Drosophila melanogaster: one gene and its partners. The protein of the gene in region 3 interacts with the protein of the main gene of each other region in a pairwise test. Each region holds a gene or a part of one and is shown on either strand. Other genes may lie near its edges.

Region 1 (6,028 bases), 6.5 Mb from region 3:
GCATTTAAGCAACTCCTGCAGCGACTCTAGTTGCACAAACTTTGATTCCTGCAGCATTTGATCCAGCTGGCACTCCTTAATGCACTTCCGTCCCAGTTTGATGAAGTCCTGCTCCTCGTACGTTGGTTCTCGCTGACCCTCCGAGCTGATAAATGAGTACAGGCTGGAAAATAGTCCCGATTCCTGCTTCTCGCGGGGCTTTTCCAGGATTAACATGGCCTTTCCGTTCGCCTCACAAAAGTCTTCCACTTCGATCAATGATTTTGGCAGCAACTTTAGACGGAAAAGCTGCAGATATAGGTCCAAAATGTGTTTCCAGCTCTCTCTTAAGCAATCGCCGTAGTCGTGAACCAATAGAAACACCGTTCGCATGGCAGCCTGAGCCTTTCCGTTCAATCCAAAGTTCACAGCTTGCTGGGTTTCATTGTTCGCCGGAGCGGGCTCATGCTGTTCTACGCTGCTCAGCAGCGTTGTGAATTTGCAGAGAGTTAAAACGAGGGCATCGAAGTCCGAATGCAGATTATAGTGCGCCGATATGGCAGCGGATTTGCTGAAACCTGAAATGTAATCGTAATGTGAGATGTGAATGGTAATTATTAGATGTTTATGTACGTACCTGCTAGAGTTCTTTGGTAGCCCGTTTCAGTGCTTTTATCAAACATAAAGCTTAGGGCGCTCAGAGAAGCACCCCACACAATATTGAAGATCTCCACGTCGTATGATGCGTCATGCACATAGTGAAAATGTCCATCGTGCGTGTCTCCTCGTCGAAGCAGTACTTTCCATTGATAATTTTCACGCACCAGACCCGTTTGCTCTGCTGGCATAACGATCTCTTCGTTCCTTAAATAATTAATAATCGGAAATATAAGCAAATGAGAGTGACGCTATATGTACTAAAGCTTACTTGATTGCATTAAAGACTTGAGCCAGCATTTCTTGATCGAAATCTTCGCCACCGTTTAGACCACGCAAATTCTTAGTGAAGTCCTCGAGCGTCATTGGAACATTTAAACGCTTCGCGTTCGAGTTGTGCTGATCCATGTTCAGCATGATGATGGCATAGGCCAAGCGAAAAGCAGCGTCTACGTTGGCAAACGGATCTTGGTTTTGTTTCTATATTGGTGGGATACATACATGATTAATATCAGAGACTGCAAGTATTTTAGTAGATGTGTATACTCACATGCCAATGATCAGAAAAGTGTTCCAGCACCAAAAAGATCAATGGAGCCTCTCCGGGCAATCTGAAGGTCTCCAGATAAAGACGCAATGCTTGATCCACTCGAAGACCAGTGAAATCAAACGAGTCCACAAAATTAATTAGAATCTTAGAGTCGACGTTTTTCTTTTTCGAGATATATTCGCCAATCATTTTTTTATCGAGCCCGGGATTTTCTCGAAGGAACAGGGCCACCTGCATGGGATCAAGCTCGGCATTTAGGATGCCGTGTTCTTGCAGATACTGGATTCCTTTCTCTGGACGCTGATTAAATCGCTCTGTGCCTTGGGATAGCAGACGCTTCTTCTGTTTGACCTTGGCCAGCTGTTCACTGGTTATTCCCACTCCCTCTCCGCCAGATTGTAGTCGTAGTCGATGTGAGCTCGCATTTATAAAGCTTGCGATGTTCTCCACTTTCTCTTCTGCAGCTACACTATTGCCAGAATCAATTACGATTCCCTCCAATCCGCTGTTGTGGCGAGAATGGCGGCTGCCACCTGTTGCTGGGGCAGCTTCTGGCAAGGACTCTCTGTTGTTGCTGCTATTCTTGCTCGCGGCACAATTTCGCTCGATACTGTCTATCACACTTAACAGGGTGTCCATTGAGATAATGTGGGTGCTATAAACTGCATTCGTTGCTGACAGCGTATACTTGCTCAGTAGGTTTGTCAAACTTTCAAACATATCCGTGCAGTACAAGTCACAATCGTAGTTGATATACAATTCCGTGACGAAGCCGGGAATGCGCCACAACTGCAGTAGATTGTCCAGAGCGAGTTCTCGCATTTCGTAGGGCGTCTTGGGATTATCGCTAGCAATAATCTCGCTCAATTTTCTAAGGTAGGCTTCCAGCTGAAACTTGAGATGTCCGCGGAGAGACTCGAAAAGCAAAAAACAGAGCTGCAAATCGGCGGCAAAGATGCTAAGCCGCTCTGAGCTGAGAAGCTGTAGGGAAAGGAAAGAGTTAGGTCAGAAATAACTAACGAAGCAATTAAGAGTCCCTTACCGATATTAAGTTTCTGCATAAGTCGTCCTTAACCAGCTCCAGCAAGCCCTCATACTTTCCAATATTATCGGCTGCGACTTCAAAAGCTACAGTAAGTAGACTAAGACCCGTGTGCATCATGCTATCCGAGTTCTGCTTATCCAGAGGATTGCAGAGGATTATGAGGAATCGGAACAACTCCTGGATGAAGGGCAGGCCATAAGGGGATAGTGATGTTACATCGTGATCGGTGGACTGCTGTGTAAAACGGACGCCCACCGAGTTGATGTACTCGCTACTATTTGCCTCGGCCAGGGTGCTGGTTGCTTCACCCGTTTCGCCGTCCAGCAAGGGCTCCGATTCAGTCGACTCCACTTGAATAACAGGAGTCTCCGGGACAGTGGTTTCATCTTCCCCCGTGCTCGCCGTTGTTGTTGGTGTCTGCGTAATCTTGCCCTGCATGTCCAATATGTTTCCCGCTGGACTGGCGGGTGTGGTGGCCAATATGGGTGCCTTCAAGTGCCCTGGCACCGTCAGGTTGGCAGACTGCGGTGTTTGAGGCGGTTCCTCCACTGCTGACGATTTCCTGGGTGCTGTCTGGGCTTGGGCAACCGTCTTACGCTTTAGTTTTTCTTGGGTAGCTCCGCTGGCAGCATCGCCGATAGTAAATCGCTTCTGGAGCATGGTGTCACTTCGCTCTTCGGCGAACTGGGGAAGGCGCATGAAGAAGAGCAGCACCATGTCCTTGAGCGATTTTTCCGCCGAGCGACGAAGCAGTTCACTCAGCCTCGGCTCGAAGGAGATCTTGAAGCAGCTGAGCATCACCTCGCACATGGACACATTGCTGACGGCGGCTCCTTCGGGACTGCGGATAAGCGTGTGCAGCACCTCAATCACTCGCATAAAGGTGACACCATCCGAGGACTGATCGGTGCCCATAAAGCGGGCATGTGTCACAGCATCGGCAATGCGCTCCACAATGTCAGCCAGATTTGGAGACGTGGGATCTGTGGATAGGTACAGAATGAGCAAATGCAGAGGGTAAGCACTAAATCATAATACCTATTAGCCCGTAAGACAATAATTTGTTAACCGAGGCCAAGGCTAGACTAGTCAACGGACCCGTGGCGTCCGCCGTGCGAATCACCTCAAGAAACGGAGCCAGGAAGACCTGAGGCTCGATCTGACGCAGGTCCTCGATCCGATTTAGCTCATGCTTGAGGTCAATGAACAGCTTCAGCAGCGAGTCATTCTCGTCGTCCTGTGGATGTGCAAAAGGGCCATATACTTTCTATTCGCAGTGAGCATTAGGGGCACTATTTACCACGTAGGCGGTGGCATTCCAACGCGTTCCACGTCGCATCGCCGTCATCAGGGTGGCCATTTCGCCCCGCACCACGTAGATGCCGTTGCCTGGAAGCGCCATGGTGTCCGCGTGTCCTCCGTTGCGGTGTCTCTACGACTGCAGCTAGTTGGCTTCCAGTTCCAGGGCTAGCGCTGAAAATTGCAGTTTTCGTGGGGCAGGGCAGCTCCTCCTCCCTTCCCGACGACCTTCGCATATGTTTTGGCACTCGCCACTTGCCCACTCGCACACTCACGCTGCCTGGACGAATCTGGGCGTGCTGCCTAGTTGGGCATCTCTCACTAATCCTAACTAATCGAACTGGTAAGCTGCTAATTTTTGGTGACGTTTACGTGTCGTTTATGTTCTTGTGTGCAGTCCGAATATTTTGCACAAGCGTCTTCCAACACCGGCGCGGCAGTTCGTCGCTTCGCAGCACTGGCACAGCTGTAGATGCCAACTCGATGCGGAAATTTCAATAGATTAAATTGAAATACAGCTGCAAGCGTATATAAAAAAAATATAACCTTGTTTTTAAAATAAAATATGTTGCCAAGCTGTCGATCAAATTGATTTAATCAAATTGATATTTGAATATGAGGGCCAAAACAGGTGAGCATAATCAGTCACGCACGCATCTTCAGTCGTGAGCGTTACACCCACCACTAAGTTACACTGGCATTTGGTGCGTAGGCGAATTTCTAATTGGAATCGTTCGATTTTTGAAAAAGAATCGCATTAAATGCAAAGCATTCCTGTTCCAGACTACTGCGCACACTTGCACTGAGGCGATCGAGCACGGGGCAGGTGGATTTACAGGACTCAGCGATACCAAAGCAGCCCACAGGCCGAACAATATGGGAAACACGGACTCCAAGTTGAACTTTCGCAAGGCGATTGTGCAGCTGACGCAGAAGAACCAGAAGATCGACCCCAGCGACGAGCAGTTCTGGGAGCAGTTCTGGCAGGGCCACCAGACGACGCTGGAGGATGTGTTCGCGCTGGTCACCTCGAGCGAGATTCGCCAGATACGGAACGAGAATCCAGCCAACCTGGCCACCTTATGCTACAAGGCGGTGGAAAAGCTTGCCCAGGCGGTAGACAGCAGTTGTCGCACGCAGGCGGAGCAGCAGTGCGTTTTGAACTGCGTGCGGCTGCTCGTCCGGTGTCTGCCGTACATTTTCGAGGACGAAAAGTGGCGCGACTTCTTCTGGAGCAGCCTGCCATCGCAGGACAAGACCATGCCGTTGGCTCAGTCACTGCTCAATGCCACCTGCGACCTTCTTTTCTGTCCCGACTTCACGGTTACGGCCACGCGGCGTGCGGGCCCCGAGAAGGCCGAGGAGTTGGCGAACATCGATAGCTGCGAGTACATTTGGGAAGCGGGCGTGGGTTTCGCCCAGTCACCGCCCCACAACGCCCACATGGAGCGCAGGCGCACGGAGTTGCTGAAGCTATTACTCACCTGCTTCTCGGAGCCCATGTACCGATCGCCGCAGCAGTCCGAGGAGCCCAACAAGTGGATAGCATATTTCACCTCGGCCGACAATCGCCATGCCCTGCCGCTGTTCACCTCGTTTCTGAACACCGTGTGCTCCTACGATCCGGTGGGCTTCGGCGTGCCCTACAATCACCTGCTGTTTGCAGACACCACAGAGCCCCTGGTGGAAGCGTGCCTTCAACTGCTCATTGTCACCTTGGATCACGATATGGTGGTGCAGCAGCAACTCACACAACCCGGACAGGCGTCCTACGACGAGGGCAATTGCGGCGACAACTTGTTCATTAACTATCTTTCGAGGGTTCACCGCGACGAGGACTTTCACTTTGTGCTCAAGGGCATAACCAGGCTGCTGAACAACCCACTGGTCCAGAACTATTTGCCCAATTCCACAAAGCGACTTCATTGCCACCAGGAGCTGCTTATTTTGTTTTGGAAAATATGCGACTACAACAAAAAGTTTCTGTATTTTGTGCTAAAGAGCTCCGATGTTCTGGACATCCTGATTCCCATTCTGTATCACCTAAACTACTCCCGAGCGGATCAATCTCGAGTGGGCTTGATGCATATTGGAGTATTCATACTGTTGCTCCTATCGGGTGAGTCATATGTCATATGTTTTGTTCGTGGAATCAGTGCACTTACACTTAAATAAATGTTTATTGATAGGTGAGCGAAACTTTGGGGTTCGGCTTAACAAAGCATACTCCGCCACGGTGCCCATGGATATACCTGTGTTTACTGGAACCCATGCGGACTTACTCATCACTGTGTTCCACAAAATAATAGCCACTGGCCACCAGAGGCTGCAGCCGCTTTTCGATTGTCTGCTGACCATTCTGGTAAATGTCTCACCATATCTGAAAACCCTCTCGATGGTGGCTAGTGTAAAGATGTTGCATCTCCTGGAGGCTTTTAGCACACCCTGGTTTCTGCTATCGGCACCCAGCAATCATCATTTGGTGTTTTTCCTGCTGG
Region 2 (5,840 bases), 6.8 Mb from region 3:
GCTGGCTTTCAATCGGGTTTGCGGTGCAGTGACTAAATAGGTGGACCGGTCGTGGTAATCTAGGGTATCATTGTACAACGGTATAGTTCCTCCGAGCAGAAAGTTCAGCAAATTGGGTATATTTACGAAGGTATCGTCGTCGCACTTGAGGAAGTAGACCGCGGTATTAAAGCAACTGCGGCTAATGTGCTTTAGAGCCATCACAGACTTAAGCGTCAGGTTGTTGTAGCTATCCACGAAGTTCTCCTGAATGATGTCGTTGTACTTTTCCGATTCAATGTGAATGCGATTCAGGGTCTCATTGCCCAACATGGCCTCATCTTTCTGGCGGCCTACAATGAAAACAATGCGCACTGAGGCAGTCAGAGACTGCCCCTCGCCGCTCAAATAATCCCCGTACATCTTTAAGCGATCCGGCAGTGGCGGCAGGTAGTGACCCTTGAGATGACCATGGAGCTTTCCAAACGCTGGGTAGTTGAACTCGGTGGTATTGCCCCAGGTCTCACGGATGGTATGTCGCTGAATGAAGTTGTCCACGCCGGTGCATACGGCGATTACCAGGAAGGTCTTATTCCGGCAAAAGTCCTTGGGAACAATGACGCCAGAACTGAGCCCGATATCCAGGTAGTCAGCTATGCTGCGGGAGGTCTCTGACGTCCAATCCGGCAGACCAGCTGTGAAAGCGTCAATGGATCATTTTTAAAATAAATGCGGGTATCAAGAAAACCATTGTCCTACCACTACGCTTGTGTACATCCAAGTAGACGAGCGGCAGGTAGACGAGGAGCAGCCCACAGATTAGGAAGGCGCTCAGCGTGTAGCAGCCAAGGCGTCTTAACATCCTGGGAAGCGGCATGCGATTTCTTAGCTGCCGCTTCCTCAGCTTTGCTTTGCTGCGTAGCGCTCCACTAGTGGTGACCGTCTCGTCCTCGGATCCGGAAGCAGCTGCTCCCGAGCTGGAGGAATATTCCGCTGCCAAGAGGGAGCTCTGCTCCTCGATTTTTTCTGGATTCCACCTTCTGTCCATGTGACTGGATTCACTTATCGCCACTGGTCCTCCGCCTACAATTTAATGCACTGTTCGCATTTTATCAACTATTAGGGCGCCTAGCTGAATTGGGTTGATTTAATCGCCCACTCCTGTTATTGACATCTAATACTTTTTATGGTAATAACTGAATAACAAGAATTTTATCCAAATTGATAAAAACAGCGAATGGGATTGTTCAGCACAGCTGATAGTAAAAATGCCCGTGACTATCGATAAGTTTACCTACCATATATATAACTGAAATCGAAAATTTGAAATTCGAATTATTTAAATTCTTAAATTTTCCCAATCCTTTTTATAAATTTTTTTGAAATTGATTTTCTTATTATATAATCGTGCATAAACAGTAATTTTTGAAGATTTTTTTCAGAATAATTAAAACTCAATTTTACTTGTAGTGCTTAATAATTGTCTATGTATAAATTTATTTAAAATGTTGTATGTACAATGAATTCGGAAAAGGTACGCTCCTCGTAAAAGTCAAGTGTGTAGATAGTATTATAAACGTAATTGGAGGTCCAAGTAAATGATTAGGTGAATGTGTTGAAGGTCTGTGATTGTTCTTAGCCTATGTTAAAATTAAAACGGACTACATATAATTGCCGTCAGATTAAAATATAAAGGATGAGAAGCCAGCCCTTGAGAGGTTTAAATTGCAACAATGATGTCCGGGGCCAGCCCTAGAAATCCGCGTCCAGGGTGAACACGTTGTCCAGGGGGTTGCTGACCACTCCCATGCGCTGGTACTCCCCCACCTTCTTCTCAAAAAAGTTGGTCTTTCCATCCAGCGATATCATCTCCATGAAGTTAAAGGGGTTTTTGGTGTTGTAGATCTTTCCAACGCCCAACTCCACGAGCAAACGGTCCGCTACGAACTCAATGTACTGGGACATCAGGTCGCAATTCATGCCAATCAAATTGACGGGCAGGGCATCGGTAAGGAACTCCTGCTCAATGGCCACCGCGTCGCGGATGATCTCGATGATGCGCTCGCGCTTGGGTCGCTGCACCAGGTGTTGGAACATCAGCACGGCAAAGTCGCAGTGCAAGCCCTCGTCGCGAGAGATAAGCTCGTTGGAGAAGGTCAATCCAGGCATCAGACCTCGCTTCTTAAGCCAGAAAATGGAAGCGAAGCTGCCGCTGAAGAAGATGCCCTCCACGGCGGCAAAGGCGATGATGCGTTCCCCGAAGTTGGCCGATTTGGAGGAGATCCAGGACAGGGCCCAGTCTGCCTTGCGCTTCACAGCCGGCATCGTTTCGATAGCGTTAAACAGGTACTCTCGCTGGTGTGGATCACGGATGTAAGTGTCGATCAAAACACTGTACATCTCCGAGTGCACGTTCTCCATGGCGATCTGAAAGCCGTAGAAGCAACGTGCCTCCGTGATCTGCACCTCCTGACTGAAGCGCTCCACCAGGTTCTCGTTTACGATGCCGTCGGAGGCGGCGAAGAAGGCAAGCACGTGCGAGATGAAATGGCGCTCGTCGTCCTTCAGGCGGTGCCAATCAGTAAGGTCCTTGGACAAATCCACCTCCTCGACAGTCCAGAAAGAAGCCTCAGCCTGCACATTAAAAAAAAAAGTTACAATTTTAAAAGAGATAATTACTGTATAAATTTATTATTTTTCATTTTCCACTTTAACAAGTTTTCAAGAAATGTCATCGTGCACAACGAGCTTATCAATTAAAATGCAATTAAAATGTAAACAAAGTTACTACAAAGCAATTAAAAGCGGCGGGGAAATGTAATTGGCTACATAAAATGGTATAGTATGTGATCGTTATGTGCTGCATTTCCCGCCAAAAACGAAGGCTATTGTTGACATTGAGTAAACCGTGATGCAGTGAATCAGCGGAAAGGGAGGGTCGAGAAATGTGGGAGGGGGTTGTTTAACCAAACGAAGCTATCATAAAGTCTGATTCGTGTAATCAACCACGTTGAGTACGTGACCGGCTTTTGGCGCGCTTTATCTCGAAATGCCCGCCCTTTTGATATTTTGCCGCCCAAAAAATAGATTTTCACCACCAATGCAAATGGACAGTGTTTTGCTATATGTATGGTATACACACCTTCTTGTACATCTGCCAGATGTCGTGGTACTGGATGGGAAAGATGACGAAGCGTCGGGGATTCTCGCGCAGAAGGGGCTCCAGCGACGGGTCGAAGGGGGTTACGGACTTCTCCATGAGGGAATTGGCAGACTTGCCGATGCCATTCACGGTGGAGGACTCCTTGGCCAACTGTCCGTTTGCCTCGTGTCCAATGGACATCTTGCGAACGTTGTTGGTGCTATCCGTCAGAATCTTCTTGCTCGGGCTCTGTTAACAACGAAAAACAAAGAAGGCCAACTAAAGCATGAGTATTTTTCCGCTGCGTAGCACTTTTCCCTAGGGAAATCAACACAAGCGCACTGATCGCGGTATTACGTCTATGTATAGCTGTGAACTTTATTTGCGTGTCGATTACCTTAAGCGAGAACTTCTCCATGTTGTCAGCAATGTTTTCCTTGGACGCCATTTGAGATGTTTTTGAATGGATTATTATTAGCAGGTAGGGGCGCTTCTCTGATTCTCTGGTAAAATTCACTTAAACCACGACGTGTATTAAGTGTACAGTTTGAAAGTTGTGTGGCAAATGATCTGGGAAATACAGCTACATTGGGTTTTATGCCGGGCGGCAAACTGTTTCGATTTGCCGCCATTTTTGGTGATGGGAAAACTATGGGAAAATCAGGGCTGTCGAGTGCGTCAATTCACTTTTTATAAATTTAGGGTAAATCTAATGCAATTATGGGGTGGTAGTTTTCTTTTCTTAAACCATAAATCGAATCCTTACTGCACAATTTTATGTTTAGCTTCCCAGCTTGTCACTTGAAAAATATTAATATTAATAGTTTCAAATACTAAATAAATTTTGAAATTTTTTTATCATCGATATTTCATGCAATGAGACAACCCTAGACTAATCCAGAAAACAGCTGATGAAACGCCACTTAATTAGTTTTGAGTGAAAAAATTTGGTCCTCTTGCTACAATTAGATAAAAAATCAAGGTGAAACAAAGTTAAAATTTTTTTCCAAGGACATTGACTTAAAATTAATTTTTTTTTTGGAAATCTCGAATTATTTGGAAATGCAACAGGTGCTAACATACTCAATTCAACAACTTTGAATGAATTCCATTACAGCGAATCATGTAAATAACAGTACAATAACATAACAGCTGGCTGTTGATATTTATCGATAAGTACGTTTAATCGTGGACTTGAAAATAATAATAAACAAATCCGTTTAGTTGTAGTTTTGTTTTTAATATCCTGAATATGGAAGCCTCTTCTTCTGAACACCACAAACGTCTGGAATACTGCACTACAAGATTGAAATACCGTCAGGGCCGCGAATTGAAAGCTGTCAAGGTGGGGAAATAGTAATGTTTAGTAGTAATAGTTTAGTAATAGCTTTATAGTAATAGCAATGTTTTATTGTACTTTTATTGTGTTTTTTATCCTTTGTAGGTTTATACAGTTGCTAGTGAGTCCCGTCATTTGCTGATCTTTGGGGTACCTAAAATAAATCTTCAAGCTAATCTCAGGACGAAACTACAAGGATTTGGTAAAGTGCAATCATGTATTTCGGTAACTTCAGAGATGGCTTCAAAAAGTATGATTATCCCTGTTCAAGATCTTTTTTATATAGTGTTCCTTTTGTTTCAGTGGATCTGGAAGCTTTTACAGATGTGTTTGCCGTGAAGTTCGAGCGCCTTGAGGTGGCGAGAAGAGCCAAGAAAATGCTCGATGCTCATCAGTTCTATGGTGGAATCTTGCACATATCATACGCTCCAGAACGAGAATCCCTTGAGGAACTTAGGGAGAAGATTCAGCAGCGCAGGCACGAAGTAGCTTTTCGTATTCGAAGAAATCAGAAGGATCAAACACAAGTTCCAAAAAAGAGCCGGGAAACCACATGAGTACAGGATGTCAACGATTTATTCAACTTAACTGATTTCAATGAACTTCTAAGGCAGAACGATGTCACTCTTATTGACACAGCGTAGTGCTACTCGCTACCGCTCTATTGCCTCAGCTCCCCGTCCGTTCACTTGGCGAATCCCCAAGCCTCCTGTACTATTTCTGCTTCGTCCGGCGCAGGTCATGGTAGTAATTCAGTAGACCAATGCGCTTTGCCCATATCTGTGCCCCATACGTGGCCCAAAAGCTGTAAATTACCGTAGGATTAATAAGACAACCTGTGATGGTATAAACATACACGCCAAACTTACATGCCAAACATGGCGCCGCCCAAATGCGCTGCGTGATCGAAGAACTTCCAGCCCATCACGACGCCAGCAAAGTCGATGCCCATTAGCACTTTAATACCAGCTCCAGCGGAGAATGTCAACGCGGGTAGAAAGAGAATGCTAAGTTGTGTGTCCGGATACTGGGTGCATACATAGGCCAGCAGTGTCATTATAGCTCCAGACTAAGGGAAGAGCTTTAAGTTTATAGATACTACGTGGAATAAAGGCTGTCTTACCGCACCCAGGGACATCCCCGCCTGACTCGTGGCCGCCTTGTAGAGCACGCTCATCAGACTGGAGAAGACGCCGGCGCTGAGGTAGACCGCTAAGAATTGCTCTTTACCCAACGATACAGCCGCAGCGTTGGCAAAGCTGTGCATCACGTACATATTGGCGAAAAGGTGCATAGCCGAGTAATGGCTGAATGTGGACAGGAACATGGGCCAGCAGACGACTTCTGCGAGAAGGGTATCAAACACAATTAGTTAGGGGG
Region 3 (5,947 bases):
CACACACAAGGAAGGAAACTAGCGATGCCTCTCGGCTCGAGAGGCTCTCCGCTGGCAATCCAGTTTTCCAGATTTCGACCACATTTTGACCAGCGCACTGCTGCAGTGCATTGCAGCGGGAGCAGGAAGCGTTTTATGGCCAAAAGCACCAAATAGCCAGCATTTTGGGCATCACCCGAGGGGCAGAGCAGCGGCAAAAAGTTGTCTTACTTTCGTGAGCCTAAATGCATTTGGCTCTCGATGCGTCGACGCATCGACAATCCAGCTCTCTCCTTTCGATTGCATAAGTGATATTTATGTCTTCTTGTCAGCGTTGCATCAGCATCAGTTGCGAATCACAAGCGACGGTTTATCTGCACCTGGCCCAAAAGATTCTACGTCTAATTGGTCTGAATTATGCCATAAAAACATGTCCAATTAAGTTGATCTATTTTATGTCGGAGTGTGGGAAATATTCGTGTCGAATTTTATGCAAATCTCGTTACTCTTTTCCGCATACGTCGCGGAAAATGCGCAAAGAGCTTGGGAAAAGCCATTCATAAACAGGGGCCTGAAGGTCGCGATCTGTTACCTTTGCCATTTGGCAGCGCCACCTTGGGCGTGTGAGCCATTTCAGTGAGACACCTGTGAAAAGGTCAACGCTAATTGCCGTCCCCCAACCATTGGCTGCCAATTGAATTCGATTGAATTTGATTCTCTATCTGCGAGGCAGGTGAAAGTGCTTTGTTCTAGAAACAGAGTTGCAAGCCAACTAAATAACATTCAGCGGAAGTTCAAGACGCGAGTCGCGGTTGAATGATCTCCGAACGCCAAGAGATCCCGTCACATAACTTAGGCCATGAGGTGGAAACCTTCCTCGTACGTCATCAGTCCGCACATAACTCACGCCCACCTGAGGCGGCAGGTGAGGCACACGGACAGACAGGTGGGCAGGCGTTATGACAAGTTGACTGATTGGATTTGCGGCGACGATGTTGCTGCTCCTGTCAATGCACTCATCGCCCGTCGCAATTGCCGCTGGAAAATTGAAATTGAAAAAAAAATGCGATTGAAAAGCGTCCGAGCATCTCGTTTGGGTTACCCAATGCATAATGGATAATGGCGGACGCTGAACGATATGCTAATTAACTTGATTTCCACGATCCATAAACGTCTCACTTAGACAATTGTTTGCTTAACGGAAATTGTGCGGCTGCCGGCATGAGAATATTTTAATTGCCCCAAAAGAAGTTGAAAAAGACCTCTTTTTAAGGCCAATTCTAGCAGACCAAAGAAATATTTGGCAACAAGCTGAGCACAAAAATGTATTTTAAACACCAAAATATTATCTGGAAAATATTATAAAAAGATTTAAATATTTATTTCTACCTGCGCTACTTGATTGCAAACATTTCAACCACATATTTAATCCCAATTTCGCACTTTTTGTTATTATAGGTTTTATAAAGTTTGTAACCAATTTGTAACAAAAGAAATGCGGCAAAGGCCAGCGAAGAAAAAATGGTTTCTACGCGTTTTAATTGCTAAATGTCAATCGGTTTATAGGTTTCCTAACAAAACAAACAAAAATACGAGGAAACGCGTACGAGAGAAGAAAAAAAAACCAAAACAAACAATTCAATTAAACTCATAATGGAATTTGTGTAGCAAGAAAACGACCTTGGCTGCAGAGCAAAGCCTAAAAAGCCAATTAAAAGCTAGATGCACGGCTCGAATGCCACATGGCACTGAGTCAGAATTATGGAATTGTTGTTATGTCTGGCCATATAGCCGCACATATACACATATATCACATATATCAGCGAGGGGTGTAGCACGATTCATAAGACCCCCACACAGTCGGATCGATTTTCCCAGCAAATGTGGTAAAAACTTGTCGCCAGCAAAGATTGCAAAACTGGAACAGCATCGCCGCAACTAACGCTAAAACAAGTTAGCATTTATGGCCGACTTGATTTGCATTTAGTGCATTCTTGTGGACACTCCCCCTTGGCAAAACTCTATCCCCATCCCCGTTTTGTTAATTTCAATTAACCACAACAAATCATTGGAGGATCATTTTTAGCTAGGAGCTATACCGCTCTGTTTGACCAAGTCTTTTGTTGGCCCAAAAGCTGTTAAAGCCGCTTTAGTTGCGCCGTTAACGCTGACTGCGACTGCGCTGCCTACTGATCTGCTAACTGCTCGGCCAGCGTCGACTTCGACGGAGGCAGTTGGATGAAAACCACGAGCGAACCACTCTTACTTACTTTGGCCCGCGACGCTTTTCATTTCTTCAGTCTGTTAACGGCACGCCAACGATGCAGACGCGTCTAAAAACCAGCTCCGGCTAACTGTTAACGCAAGATAGTAATAACTTGATTTGTAAGTGTAACACTCATACGCATCGAGTATACGCACAGTGGTACCAACGACATTTGATTTTGCATCTTTTGCCGAAAGTGCGTGAGCTTCCTGACGTCTCAAGTGGATAAAGTCAAAGTGAATTTCAAGAAATCGAAAATATAATTAATATACAAAAATAAAAGTAAAACGCTTGAATTGCTGCTAATTTGGCGAGTTGGGCAAGTTAGGATCTTAATTAAATTAAGCCAAGTGAAAGAGAAACAACAGCTGCCGTTCAGGAAGAAGAAGAAGAAGCAATAGAGGAGAGTGGTAAGTGGGGTTTTTATTTTTTATTTATTTTATTTTTTTTTTTTTTTTGCCAAAAAAGGCGAATAGAAATTTCAGCTCTCCATTCAACTAACCACACACTCAACGCATTCGACTGTCTTGGCAATTTTGCTGTTTATTTTTTCATGCTCTAATTATTTGGAAATTTCATTTTGTTTTTGCCCACCGACACTCGTTAACTGGCATGCAATTTGTTTGCCCAAAGACTTATGGACCATACATCTAACCAAAACAACCGTCCATCCTCTAGAGAGTCAAGTTGAGTCAAGCTTTATGGGCAGACTTCCTCGTTAAAAGATAAGGTGGCCAGACCCCTGACCAAAAGAAAAGAAACTGGTCCATCAGTATTCTGTGGGTTCGTTTTGGGTTTTTCATCTACATCTCTAAGTCTATCTCCATTGCCACTTCATTAACCCAATTTTCACCTGGAGAAATTTTATGTTTCGTACAAGAAAAATCTTGTTTATCAGGCCAATTTGCATACAGACCCCACTTCCGAGGGCCAGACATTTCTCTTCCCTAATCTTCGATGTGGCATCTGATCTTTAACGGAACTAATGTGTACACTTATTCGTTTGTTTGTCATTTTAACATGAGGGCAAACAGAAGAGGGAAATCATAAATTACGCCGTAGCGTCTTATTCGTTTTATATATGTATTTCTTTATTTATATTTATGCGAACTTTGTTTTTTTTTTTATGTGCGAGCGGACAGCGTTTTCGAAATTAAATACTTTCTAATTACAATAAACGCAGGCGATGGCCGCCGGCCGGCCAATTGCCTGTCGCACGTCCAGCAAAGTCCATATCGTAGCCTTTGGCAACGGGCTGAAATCACGTAGCCGCCGCATCGGCCAATGCCAGCCGATATAAAAGAGGGATGGGTTGGCAGCGGAGTGGTGAGGGGGGAAGTGGCGAAACAAAACTCGCGAAAGTGTCAAGAAAATATAATACTGCTCAGACTCACTTTTTCTTTATTGTCATGTCTTAATGTGGCGCCTGATGTGTTTATTTGCCACTAGCCTCCTCCGCCGCCAATTCATATTCCTACCCCTCCCTCACCTTCCTCCGATGAAAGTGAAACGTGCGAATGACTTTGCGTAGCTGCAGAAGCTTCCATCACTCGTCACTTAGCACGTGCCCAGCGATCCTACCCGTGTGGTCTTCGTCTTTCACGGCTTTCAATTACTCAACCGCATAATGTTCAATTTGTCAAGCGTTGAGCCCGGATTACGACTTTCTCAGCGGGCCAAACAAAAGACTTAAGACACAAACTTGCTTCATTAGTTGGCTTTGTTCGATGGAATGCGTTGCAGATCCTAATGCGCACAAGTTTTGGTGTTGATTACTCACGAATTGAGAAATCAATGCAACCATACCTTTGTTTATATTACAACTTAAATTATCCCAGATGATTTAGCCATACCAAAGAGAATTTCAATTTCAAAGATCAATATCGAATATGCCCAGCGGTCTTTCAAAACCATAATTATCTCGCACTAGTGACACGCACTGAATTCTAAATGTGAGTAATTGCAATGCATTCAGCAATATCAGATTCAAAGTGCATTTAAGCGGAGGTAAAAACTAAAAAATCAATTCAAATGGCTTCCAGGCCGGGCATTTATTGCTGGTTCGCTGGAACTAAATCGTGATTTGCAGTTGCATGTACGGCCTCCGTAAGACCCCCTGATCCTCCTTCGGCACCCCTGGAATACCCACACAGTTGATTAGTCAGCACCCGGCTGGTAGAGCAAGGCAACCATTTGGGGCTTTTTGCTCCGTTTTGTCTCTGTGTTTTCCTTCTAGACCGACAAGTTGAAGTATCTTGGCCTACTGAATTTTTTCTCACACTCCGTGTCTTGGTCACGGATGTGGATTGATTGCTAATGTTCATCTGGGCACATATATATCTGTATATATGTATATATATCTATCTGCGGCAGGCGGTTTATGTGGATACCCTCGCCAAGTTGCCGAGTTGCACAAGTCTGGTTTGGTCTGGGCCAGAATGAGGCCCACACTCGAGACGTGGCCAACAAGTACGGGTACTTGTGGCTATACATTTGCCGAGCCACTCTTGCTTTCTTCAGCTGCTCCATTTGGCGGCTGCTTTGTTTTGTCAGCGCTTGCTTTATGGTTTTTCATATATATAGAGTAGCTACTAGCAGCTACCTTAAGTATTGCTCTGTTGCAATTGTCACATTGTTTTGGGACACTTTTCTGCGGCTCAGTGGCGACGACGACTGTGGCAATAGTTTTGTAATTAGCTTGGCCCATCATTTGCGCAATTCGATTTGCGATGTCCCAGGTGATAAGTGATATTTAAGGCACTAATTTCGCTTGTATCCGGTTATCCGGCTTTTATTACGAGTTGCGCAACCACAGCGCCCCCGCATACCAAAATGTCGAGGGAGAAATACTTTCGCTTTCAAATGCTCGAGCATAAATTCTTGGGATTACGCAAGCTAAATGCTTGCGGCATGTTTTGGTTTGCTGAGCAGGTGCCGCCAATACCAAACCAAAACCAAAAAGCCACCTCCACCAGCTAAACAGCCACTTACCTCATTTGGAAAGCAGCGAGAAATGAAAGTTTTTGTTTTTTCATTTTTCTGCGTTGCGTGAAATTTACATTTCGTTTAATAATTTCAAACATTTCTTCGAGGTCGCTGTGGCATAAAATTTGAGGAATTAGTCGAACAAGAAATCAGCGTTTTTCCGTCCGTTTTCCTTCTGGTATCGAGTGGCTCTTTCCGGCAGGCCTGGCTAGCAACGCCCCCTAGCAATAGCAGCCATCAGACAGAAAAGTGCATTTCATTGTCGCTTTCGTTTCGGATTTGTATTTCTCTGCATTTTCTGTTTGGCGACGAGTTCATTGGCTTTGCATAATTTATGCGTTCGGCGGCCCAGCAGCAAAAACAATATGCATGCAGTATATGGTGGCCATCAATCCTAGACTTATCGTTAGCCAGTCACGCTAATTGGCCATAACTGTAACTGAAAGATCAGCGATTTCAGCACCCGAGCGATACAATCAGTCAATATTTAATGTGCGAGTTGTGCAAGTTTTTTGGCGGACAGTTGGCACAGTTTCAATTGATTTGCCAATAGTGATTCACATGGGTCACGCACATTCTTGGTTTTTTGCGCTCTAGTAAACCAGCTGCAGATCCGCAGGCGTTTCCAAAAAAAAAAAAAAATAGAAGAAAAATCCCCCTTAAAGTAGGTGTGTTTTTTTGCGTTTTATGTTTGGCCAACTAAGCGTGGCCGACACT

Evidence for each region. Proteins that work in one complex are often made in the same cells at the same time.
Region 1: the proteins of CG15080 (region 3) and garz interact in a two-hybrid assay, tested with the Drosophila melanogaster proteins (one large-scale study listed by BioGRID).
Region 2: the proteins of CG15080 (region 3) and RnrS interact in a two-hybrid assay, tested with the Drosophila melanogaster proteins (one large-scale study listed by BioGRID).

What each region holds. Positions count from the first base shown.
Region 1 is NT_033778.4:12,324,279-12,330,306, reverse strand, and holds the start of garz (gartenzwerg), read right to left. Parts: upstream 3,948-6,028; 5' UTR 3,634-3,947; coding exon 3,532-3,633; intron 3,469-3,531; coding exon 3,270-3,468; intron 3,215-3,269; coding exon 2,229-3,214; intron 2,168-2,228; coding exon 1,187-2,167; intron 1,117-1,186; coding exon 908-1,116; intron 844-907; coding exon 617-843; intron 558-616; coding exon 1-557. Other genes in the region: CG8841 (uncharacterized protein), read left to right, coding at 4,407-5,649, 5,720-6,028.
Region 2 is NT_033778.4:11,981,698-11,987,537, forward strand, and holds RnrS (ribonucleoside diphosphate reductase small subunit), read right to left. Parts: upstream 3,697-5,840; 5' UTR 3,570-3,696; coding exon 3,519-3,569; intron 3,371-3,518; coding exon 3,122-3,370; intron 2,614-3,121; coding exon 1,732-2,613; 3' UTR 1,448-1,731; downstream 1-1,447. Other genes in the region: GalT1 (beta1,3-galactosyltransferase 1), read right to left, coding at 1-674, 739-1,027; CG34231 (uncharacterized protein), read left to right, coding at 4,374-4,466, 4,566-4,710, 4,764-5,017; rho-7 (rhomboid-7), read right to left, coding at 5,175-5,265, 5,330-5,529, 5,584-5,804. UniProt on the Drosophila melanogaster protein: Provides the precursors necessary for DNA synthesis. Catalyzes the biosynthesis of deoxyribonucleotides from the corresponding ribonucleotides.
Region 3 is NT_033778.4:18,781,024-18,786,970, forward strand, and holds the start of CG15080 (uncharacterized protein), read left to right. Parts: upstream 1-2,275; 5' UTR 2,276-2,655; intron 2,656-5,947.